Linked DNA regions of Caenorhabditis elegans. The protein of the gene in region 2 interacts with the protein of the main gene of each other region in a pairwise test. Each region holds a gene or a part of one and is shown on either strand. Other genes may lie near its edges.

What was found.
Region 1: the proteins of cup-5 (region 2) and ttr-21 interact in a two-hybrid assay, tested with the Caenorhabditis elegans proteins (one large-scale study listed by BioGRID).
Region 3: the proteins of cup-5 (region 2) and T28C6.7 interact in a two-hybrid assay, tested with the Caenorhabditis elegans proteins (one large-scale study listed by BioGRID).

Annotation. Positions count from the first base shown.
Region 1 is NC_003283.11:13,853,249-13,856,444, reverse strand, and holds ttr-21 (Transthyretin-like family protein), read left to right. Parts: upstream 1-2,039; 5' UTR 2,040-2,058; coding exon 2,059-2,230; intron 2,231-2,281; coding exon 2,282-2,547; 3' UTR 2,548-2,611; downstream 2,612-3,196. Other genes in the region: srx-134 (G-protein coupled receptors family 1 profile domain-containing protein), read left to right, coding at 1-1, 49-442, 488-654, 730-1,059.
Region 2 is NC_003281.10:7,582,543-7,586,302, forward strand, and holds the start of cup-5 (Polycystin cation channel PKD1/PKD2 domain-containing protein), read left to right. Parts: upstream 1-2,140; 5' UTR 2,141-2,146; coding exon 2,147-2,599; intron 2,600-2,648; coding exon 2,649-2,832; intron 2,833-2,876; coding exon 2,877-3,188; intron 3,189-3,554; coding exon 3,555-3,760. Other genes in the region: gda-2 (CMP/dCMP-type deaminase domain-containing protein), read right to left, coding at 248-437.
Region 3 is NC_003282.8:8,825,701-8,829,460, reverse strand, and holds the start of T28C6.7 (Kinesin motor domain-containing protein), read right to left. Parts: upstream 1,658-3,760; coding exon 1,508-1,657; intron 1,461-1,507; coding exon 1,247-1,460; intron 943-1,246; coding exon 467-942; intron 413-466; coding exon 20-412; intron 1-19. Other genes in the region: col-3 (Nematode cuticle collagen N-terminal domain-containing protein), read right to left, coding at 3,489-3,760.

The DNA.
Region 1 (3,196 bases), on a different chromosome or scaffold from region 2:
TGTAAGTCTAAACTAAATATTGTAATCGTTGATTTTCTTCAATTCCAGCTCGGTTCTATCGGAGTGATTTTAAACTTAATTTTAATTGTAAAATTCATGAAAATAAAGAAGAGCGCGGTTACAAATTTTACAAAACTATGTCTCTGCAAAGCAATTTCCAATTTTGTTATGAGCGCATCGTTTCCATTTTGGATTGTTCCTTTTTCAATGCTGGAATTTAAAATCCAAAACATTCCGAGAACATTGAATGTGATTGTTTCTGAATTTGTTGGTATATTTACTTATTATTTTGGGCCTTTTATTTTAATATGTATGTCTATAAATCGATTCATTGCTATTTACTTTCCATTTTCAACAATTTCCAAAAAACCATTTTTCACAAACTTTGGTATTTTTATTTCAATTTTGCTTGCAAGTTCGCCAGTGTTTGTACCCAAAATATGTATGTTTCACTAGTGTTTCAAACCAAAATAGAAATTTATTTCAGTCAGTTGCTATATAATTTATGATCCAGAGACTACTATTTTTTCATCGGAAAACTACGATCGGTGCGGGGAAGCTATGAATCAATTTTTCGTGATATCAATAGTAACATTGGCGTTAATATCTAATCTGATCAACTTGGTTATTTTTGCCAAACTCATGAAAGATAAGGTGAGCAGTTTTGTGATGATGTAAGGCAGTTTTAATTTAAAAAAAAACTATTAAATGAAGTACCATATTTTCAAGATGAGTGGAGTCAGTGAAGCTCAAAAAAGCAAGCGACGGAAAAAGTGGCAAACGATGTACATTCAAAGTGTCATTCAAGATTTTTTGCAAGCAGTAGATATTATAAATTTATATTACACATCTGGGCTTTTCGATGATCCTCTTTGGGTTTTTGTGTTTACTTCTGTTTCTTTTTCGTCTGTATATATGCTCGACGGAGCAACAATGGTGTATTTCCATTCAAACTTTAAACTTGTGTGCTCTTGTAAAATCGCAAGCACGAAAAACGTTGTGATGGTATCTGGAAAGGAGAGCTCAGCTTTTAAGCTTGCTACTAATTCAAAGATTTAGTCTTTTTGTTGATTCTTAATTATTAACCGATTCAATAATAGTATTATCCCTAAAATAATTTTAAAATGTTTTTCAAATTTTCATTTATACTTTCAAAACAATTTTTCTGGAAACAAATAAATAAGAAAAAATTTGCAGCAAGCTATAAGATTTTTAATTAATTTGTCTGCGAAATATTTCACATAGAACAACACGCTCCGCGTTCTAAAATCTACAGGAATGAATTTATCGAAATTAAGACTTTTTTGTCAGAATGTGCATCAAAGTTACATTAGCATGTCTGGAAAATTATACAAATTACACAGTTGTCTAGAATTATTCAACAACAAAAAAAGGAATTTTTATCAAAATTATCTCAAGCACAATGCTCCTCTCCATCAAAAATCCACAACAAATTTAGAATTGTACCCAACCCTATATACATTTGCAATAGGTCTACTACAATTTATTAATTCAAAGAAGCTGGTTTGTGAATTTACATTTTTTGTTCTTTGGGAAATTAAAAAAAGGGATTCACATGACATTCTTCAGGATGTTACGGTTTCAAGTGACTGTAATTTACAGTACGTATTCGTACGAATAAAATATACATTAGTTTCTGAAAACATTGAAAAATGGTTAAAGTTTAATTTAAAAAATGAGAAATAATTATTGGATTTCGTGAACCAAAGAAATTATCCATGCGGGTATTGAAGTTAGCGTCAATGATCAAACGTACCTATTGAAATTTTGATGATATCATGTTTATGAAATCTTTTAAAAACTGACTCATAAATATTTAAACTATGACCAAAGTAACATGTGATCCGATGTTTGTTGCTTCTTTCTTCCACCCTCACACAGTTCTCACTTTTTTGACATTTCTTGGGTATGCTCGCCACTGTCTTCAATGTTTACTCGCGAACTTTATTTATATTATTTCTATTTACCAGTGGCACAATGACGAAAGTATAAAAAGATCAGACAAAAGCTCATTTTTCATCGACCATCACACTAAAAATGACATTGATTTCTCTGACACTACTTGTCGCGTTTCTCGTTTTCGCTCAACTTTCCGATGCTGTCTTAAATGTTGTTGGAAGTACTCAGACTATTACTGTAACTGGAAGATTAGTGTGTCAAGGACAACCAGCTAGAAATGTTCTTGTGAAGATGTATGAGGATGGAACCAGTAAGTTATTTTTTCCTGAATTTTAAAAGTAAACAAAATTAAAATTTACAGTATGGGATTCTAAATTGGATTCAACAAAATCAGCAAATGACGGAACCTTTCGAGTTGCTGGAACCTACACAAAAATCTTTACATTGGACCCCAAAGTAAACATCTACCATCAGTGCAATTACAACGGACTTTGCTCCAAAAAATTGACTATTAATATTCCTGACTACGCAGTTGCCAGTGGTTCCGGATCTTCTACAAATTATGATATTGGAACATTGAATTTGGCAAATCAATTCAGTGGAGAAACTACTGATTGTATTCATTAAATGTAATTACTCAAAGTTGTATTTTTACTCTGATTCTGAACGATCTCAATAAACGCTTACGTTCAAATGTTTTCCACTAAAATATCCCAAATACGTTTTTATCTTGAGGCCTCTTGAAAAATTCTCAAATTTTTAACTGGTGGTTTGAAATTTCGAAAAGTTTTTCAAATTTTGGCATATCTTTCATCATTTATTTTGATTTTTTTTTTAATTATCAGGGTACAAATTAAATTTGAAGGTGCTGACGAAACGACTGAAAAACCACAATATTCAATGAAAAAAAGACGTAAATTTTGTACAAATTACTCACTTTCAATTATATACCTGATTCAAGGATTGGCAAAACTTAGGAATTAGGCAAGACTTTGGTAAAGGCTGCGCAGTTTTCAATTTCGGACCAACATTTGGCGAGAGTTGAGCAAAATTTGGTTCGCTCAAATTTTGCCATTTTCTGATCCAAGTTTTTTTTGGAAGCTTGCTCAATATGCTGAGCCAAGCTTTTTCTACGAAACTATTCAAAATTATCAATTTTCAGTATAAGTTCCAAAATCCCGTAACAACTCAAGTGAGCATTGTAGTCTACATGATTTTCATGTGTACTTGTAAACACAAATCACAGACAGTAGTGAGTTCAAATGCCATTGGTTCA
Region 2 (3,760 bases):
TCCAGGAAGTAACTTCTTACCTAAATTAAATTAAAAAGTACAGTGAACCAAATTATAGGCAATCAAAAAAGTCAAAAACCAAACACTGAAGATCAAAGCAGTAAGTGATGTCCAAACAGTGATATCTTGTAAGGAATTTACTAAATAAAAAACAATTGTAAAAAATTATAAATTATTTTCGAAATTTTGGATTCAAGAAACTAATTTTGTTTCCTTTACTAAAGTTAAAAACGAAAGGAATACTTACCGACATTCTTACAAGTATTTCTGATGGCTGTAACTTCGGCGTGTGCTGTTGGATCCTTGGTGACTAAAACCATGTTATGCCCACTACCGATTACCTTCCCATCCTTGACAATTACAGCTCCAAATGGTCCACCGTCTCCCTTCTCCATTCCTTTCTTGGCTTCTTCGATTGCGAGTTTCATGAATTCCATTTTTCTGAATTTTCAAGAAATGTTTCGATTAACCGAGTTTTTTCACGGATGAAAAATTTATTAGAAACAAAAATAAATAAAAAAATATCAAAACTACAAATGAATGAATATGTTGTAAAAACTATAGTTGCCAAAAACTTTCACTTTAACAAAAATTTGACATCGAGAGAGTACGCCAGAGATGAAGAAAAAGAAGGCGTGGGAAAAGAACAAAAAAGGAAAAGAGCGATCGGAAGCCAGTCAACCAAACAAAAAATGATGATGAACTGAATATTGTGGAGGTGTTTTCGATAGTTGCAGACATGGAAACGTATTAGATTTTAAAAATTTGTGTGTGGCAAGAGGAATTTTGATATCGAAGTTCAATAAATAGAAATTCAGAATTTAATATTTTATTGAAATCACAGGAAATTTAAAAATTGCAGAGACTTTTTTCGATATTTGGGGTACGACCAAAAAAAAAGAACAAAAATTGAAGTAGTTGTCAAACGTTGCCTTCTGTAAACTTTCAAAAACGGTACCTACTGTCTCACTGCGCCTTCAAAAAACGACAGTAATCCATTGCCCGTTTGTTAGTTGTGCTCTTCCTTTTCTCACTATTTGTATCTAAAAAGAAACAGATAAAATTATACGACAGAATATGAATATGACTAAAAATTCAAAGAAAAATTTCAATGGTTTACTGTGGTTGTTAAAGGTGCATACCTTTTTTGCGGCGGCTACGATTTGAAAATGTTCGCGCTGTGAACCAGCCCGAAATTTTTGTAATAAATTGAAATCTTTCGCAACTGGGTAATAACTCAAACTTTTTTAACTACAACTTTATAACCTGCAATTTCACTTTTAAAATGTGCGTCATTCTATGCAAATTTCTGAATTTATAATTCTCTCCGAGTTTATCCATATTAACGTCATTGCAAAATACTATGTACATGTGCCCTCAAAAAATTTTCCAATTTCTCTTTACTGAAAGTACTACGCTTTTTATTTTCTTTGTGTGCACCTTTCAAAAGTCATGCTCAATTTTGTATAGATTCCAACCGCTATTTATCTACGGAAGGAAAAAAAAACCCAACACAGAAAAAAACAAATTGACGTGTCTCTAGCTTCCCTGCGCTTCTCTCTCTCAAATGCTCTTTTATCTATCCCATGTTCGCCATTTACATCGGCTCTAAATAACACCTCTAAGCTTTCTTGAAAGATGAGTAGAATATTCAGAAGCCAAGCTTCGAGATCGATGCGGTTAGAGCAAATTCCCCTCGAATCGGTGAGATAATAAATGTATTGTTTTAAGGGTTGAAAACTGCAAAATTGCATGTTTGCATGGTCTTAACCAATTTTTGATTGACTGATAACGATAATTTCTGATAATTTTGGACTTTAGGTGAGTATTTCTTTTTAGTTCTTCGTTTTTTAAAGAGAAAATAAATACCATAAGATTGACCGGCGTCAGATATTGTGCATGGTACGCAAAGACACCGCGCGGTGTACCTCACTAGTAGGATTTACGCGGGCGTTGGTCTCGGAAAATTATTTTTTAATTGTTCAAACAATTATTTGTTTTTGTTTTTTATAAATAGCATGTTAATCATAAAAATATATATTTTTTAAAAATTAGAATTCATATTTTGTACGCTTATATTAACCGCCACTCGCATCGAAATCAATTTTTCATTAATACAACGTTATTTAATATTTCATGATTTCAGATGTCTCGCCGGAGCACAACTGATCGTTCAGACTTCAACGATAATGCTTCGAATGCTTCTTCAAATGCTTCTCGAAGGCCAACAATAAATTTTCAAGAAATAATGGAAGATCTTCCGCACCACGAAAGAGAAACCGGCGAACGTCTTCGCCGTCATCTCCAATTCTTTTTTATGAATCCAATGGAGAAATGGAAAGTCAGACATCAACTGCCCTATAAGTTGGTTCTACAAGTGCTCAAAATAGTTTTCGTTACCATGCAATTAATTTTATTCGCGGAAATGCGCATGTCTCATGTTGATTTTCTCGAAGACACCACAACAGTTATGAGACATCGATTTTTAAAAGAATGGAATGACGACAGAGATGCATTACAATATCCACCAGCTGAAGGAAGATATTCGGTTTATGATGATCAAGGATTATCCGAGCATTTGAGCTTTTTGATTAATTCTGTAAGTCGCTTTGGAGAACTATCTTGTAAAATGATCAATATTGTTTCAGTATTATTCAATTCGCAATGATTCATTTGCTTCATTTTCCTATGACGTTGTAAGTCATCCATCTGGAAATCTTGGCGCTCAAATTAGTTTTGAATCTATTCCACCTATTGAAGTTCTTATCGATCGAATTTCCAACGTAACAGTGAACAATAACACTTATAATTTCGACATTCGTGAAGTGAAAGGTATATAAACATACTATTATGAAATAAAAATAGTTTATTTCTAGACACGAAACGTCTGAATCTAACAGAAACGGAAGTCTTCCAAATCGGACAATCCGATGATGCTGTTCGAGATATTCTCGCCACTCGTGGAATCACATTTCTCCCAGAAGACGCGCTCAAGATATCGACGGTCCAATTCAAATTTCGACTACGAACAATTCATTATTCACCAACAGCCGGAGATCAGAAACCAGAATGCTATAAGATATCAGTTTCTATCAAATTTGATAATTCAAGGCATACAGGACAGGTTCATGTCACTCTATCAACTGTGGTTTCTTATGTGAATGTTTGTAATGGAAGGATCATCAAAGGTGAACACTTCACTTTTTTCAAATTTTCAAAGTAAAGCTAGTAAAAATTATAGATTATGTAATCGAAAATTACCCAATTAACATAGAATTCCAATAATTAATGGTGAAGAATCATCAAATGGGATGCTATTAAATATAACTTCAAATCTTTTATAAAAGTCTTTCTGAAACTTCGTGTTAAAATCTACATAACTTTATTTGCCTAAAAAAGTTCTTCTTGAGAGTAACATTTAGATTTTAGGTATTCAAAAATTTCCCAATTAACTTGAAATATTTAACTTCTAGGTGTACTTCTGTGTTTAAATAAAAATGAATTTTGTAATATTAAAATATCAAAATATAAAAATTCAATCAATCTCGAGTTAGGTCAAGTTTCAGGTGTTGGATGGTCATTTGACACACTTTTAATCGGCGGAACCGATATTTTCGTTCTCATTCTTTGCATTCTATCACTGATTCTCTGCTGCCGAGCCCTCATCAAAGCCCATCTACTTCAAATCAAAACAAGCGACTATTTTGAGAATGTACTCAAAAATAAGATCACCGTTACCGATCAACTCGATTTTCTGAAT
Region 3 (3,760 bases), on a different chromosome or scaffold from region 2:
CAGGAAATAAAAATCTTACCTGTGAAGCACCCAAATTCTCTCTCAAAAGTCCAATATGTTGCTCATAGATGACAATATCAGCTTCAAGAACTTCAATAAATCTATCCTGTGCTTGAATGGCATCCTTCAATCGGTCAATGTCCTCAAAAATAGCTTTTTTCTGACATTGATTGTAGTTGATAGCGGATTCAGCTTGAAGGAGATCTTCAACCATCAATTCCATCAGCTTTTTAGATTCGTCAACTTCTGAGCTCAAGGATCGTTTGGCTACTTCACTAGCATCTAACTCTGTTGTCAACTTGTGAACTTTTTCTTTCAAATGAGCAACTTGATCACGAAGAAGAGCATTTTGTTCTATTTCCCAATTTCGAGAAGATCGGAGAGTGTCAACTTCTTCTTGAAGACGATCCCTCTGAAAATTGGAAACGTTTCTATACAAAATGATATATTCATCTATTTCACTTACCTCATCTTCATATTTTCCATTGATATCTTCAAGTGTAGTTTCCAACTCCTTGATTCTTGCAGTCGCCGCAACCTTTGCCTTGAGTCCAGCAGTTTTTGCCTCTTTTGTGTATTTGAGAATTTCAGATTCATAGTCTGCTTTCATTTTTTCAACAGATGAGTTTAGTTCGATAACTTGCTGACGGAGTAAAGCATTTTCAGATGAAGCTTCTGTTAAAGCAGACTCGAGAGCGTCTGAAGTTGAAGAAGACATTGAAATGGTGGGATAGCGGGAAACAGATGTAGATGGAAAATTGGAAGATGTTGATGTTCCAATTGAAGAACCATTTGGATTTAAATCAAAAGTTACACGTTTTCTTTGATGTTTCCTATGGATTCCGTCAATATCTGGAAGAGCGCTCAGTTTGCTAGATGGATCAAATGGAGGATCCAATGGTGGAGGAGAGAAGGTTCCCGATGAACTTGAGACCATCGTTTCTGAAAAATAGATCAATTCAATTCCGTTAAACTTTAAAAAAAAGTTTTATATCGTCACAATTTTCAATTTCTAGCCGTGTGCTCAATTTTCGAGCTTATTTTCAAGAAAAAGAGGAGCATACAAATTACTTGGGCAAGCTACCTTTAGATTACTGTAGGTTACAGTTGTCCTAACACGTCTAAGATCAGCAATTTTCCTGTTTGGGAATAATAAAAAAATTCTAAAAATAAAACTGAACGTCATATATATTCAGAAATGGTGCATGACAACTTCATTTTTTTTTAACCAAAAAACTTTACTCACTTCTCTGTGCAATGACATGACCTGGAGATGAACTTCTTGCTCTCCGTTCACTCTTTGAATTTGATAATGGTACTGAGGAATGAGCCATCAAAGAAGGCTCAGTTTCTGTCGACATATCCTTCTTGTCTCTATTCATTTCTTCAAATTTTTGTTGAACAATTCTCATTGCTTGATTTTTGACTGAAGCAACTTCATTGTGCTCACGAACTCTTTCCTAAATACAACTCCAATATGAAACCACAGAAACAGAATAATTCTCACCTGTAAGTCCAAAATTTGCCTTTCTTTATCCAATATCACATTATTTAAATCTATAATTCGGTTATCCTTATACACCAGTTGTTGATGAACCCGTTCATCGATCCGTTTGTCGGCCGATTTTTCTTTTTCTTTGGAGGTTTTGTCCTCCATTTCTGAAAAGTATTATATTTGTATTTAACGTATTTAAAAAGTGACAGTATACTTCAAGGACGTGAAGAAACAATGAGAAGAAAAGAAATTTGAAAATTATAGTTTAAAAAAAGGGATGACGTAAAATTATTCAAAAACTTTTTAAATAATTTGTAAATCCAGAATAAATTTTCTGCGAGAGATTGGAGAGAGAAACAGAGAAACCCCGTTCCACGTAACGGAGAGGCGCTGAACCCACGTGGAAAGCTCACATTTTAATCTCACGCAATAATATGCGTCTCACGTTTTTTTTTCAAAAAGTTTTCCGAACACATCCTTTTTTTTCTAAAATTTTTTAATCTTCCGACACTACTTGAGAAGTCTTATAATGGATGAAAAATCGTTTTTTAAAGTTAATAAACTGATTAGGTATAAGGAGCATGCCAAAAATATATTCACTTTCAGTTTTTTGATAATGTTGCAAATTATTCAAAAGTATAACTCGTAACCTAGTTATCAGAAGTATAACTAACAAAATATTTATTTTTGTATTTAAAGGTTGCTGAAGTAAAATAATTTTCATTTACTGTTTCATTTTTTAACTATAATAATAATATACTCTAGAAATTCCGCTTTTTTTGGTACTAGTGAATATAATTAACTTATTTGAACAAGTATACAAAAGTAAAAATAATTTGCTTCTGAATTAGCTTCTGAATTAGTTTCGGAAATAGTTTCGGAATTCATTTTAATCATTCTCAACAATATCAAAAACCAAAAAAGGTTGCTTCTTTGGCTAGCACTGTGAATTAATACAGCAATTTAAATATAGGTTATATAACTAAATTTGAAACATAAGGAAGAATATATGAAACGACTTAAAACAGTTACAAATCTACGTGCAATTTAATTCCTGAAGAATCAAAAATGAAGTTTTAACACGAAATTCTACAAAAAACTGGTTCGAATTAGTTCCTTTCGAGAGACACGTCGACCAACACGGCACCCGCGTTATTGATTTTCTGCTGACGCACATTCGTTTGCGGTGGCGCATTTCACTTTCGCGGTGACCATTGACATAGTGTATGGGCCAAATAATGGGAGAGCTCGGTGAAATATTAGTGACATTAAATACGGATATTAATTACAAAAAAGAAATCGATGGTAAAAATAACCAAATGACTATTTTGGCATGAAAAAACATGACTTTTCAATTTTTATTTTCTGTTTTGGAACTCTTCATGTAGGCCATTTTAAATCATTAGTTTTCTGTGCGGTGTGTATTCAGAAAAGTTAAAGTAAGCATTGAAAACTGTGAACAAAACGTTATAAGAACACGTCTCATTGTCTGTCAGTACATGAGAGCACGATGTAAAAAAGCAAAGCACACAACTGATATTTTTGTTAAAATAATTTCTGTCTTACTAAAGTTTTTGGGTCAAGATAGATCAAACAGCATCGAGAAGAAAATTTACTAAGTTTGGTAACCCATGAAACACAGTTCTCTTTCTATTTTCAAAAGGCATTTGTGTCTATTAAGCTCATCAGTTCTTCTGAAAAATCAGCATTACTGATAGCATAAATTCTAGGCTTTTCAGGTCATTGTAATAATTCGATAAACCATTCCAAATTTCGAACTAGGAGCATTTTTAAGAATATTGTTTCTTTATACTAAAACTAATAAATATTTTGTACAGAATAATTGTGTATCTATGGAATCGTTATTCTTGCTGCGTAATTACTAGTGACGAAATTTTCTTGTTCTGAATTAGTTATTTTCTCTGAAGTTGAACAAAAAAACACATTAAATTGATGAATAGAGAATATTTTATTGTTGAATTTCTCATAAAATTTAACGGCGAGTTCCGTCCTCGAAGAAGACTCCTCCGTCGATGGCGCAGTACTTTGGACAGATTCCCTTCTCTCCGGCACCTCCGGAAGTTCCAGCTTGTCCTGGGGCTCCTGGGTTTCCGTCGGCTCCTGGGGCTCCTGGGTTTCCATTTGGTCCCTTTGGTCCTGGGGCTCCTGGTTGTCCATCGTGTCCTGGCTGTCCTGGGGCTCCTGGTGGTCCTTGTGGTCCGGCTGGTCCAGCTGGTCCTGGTGCTCCTGGTGTAATTGGCTCGG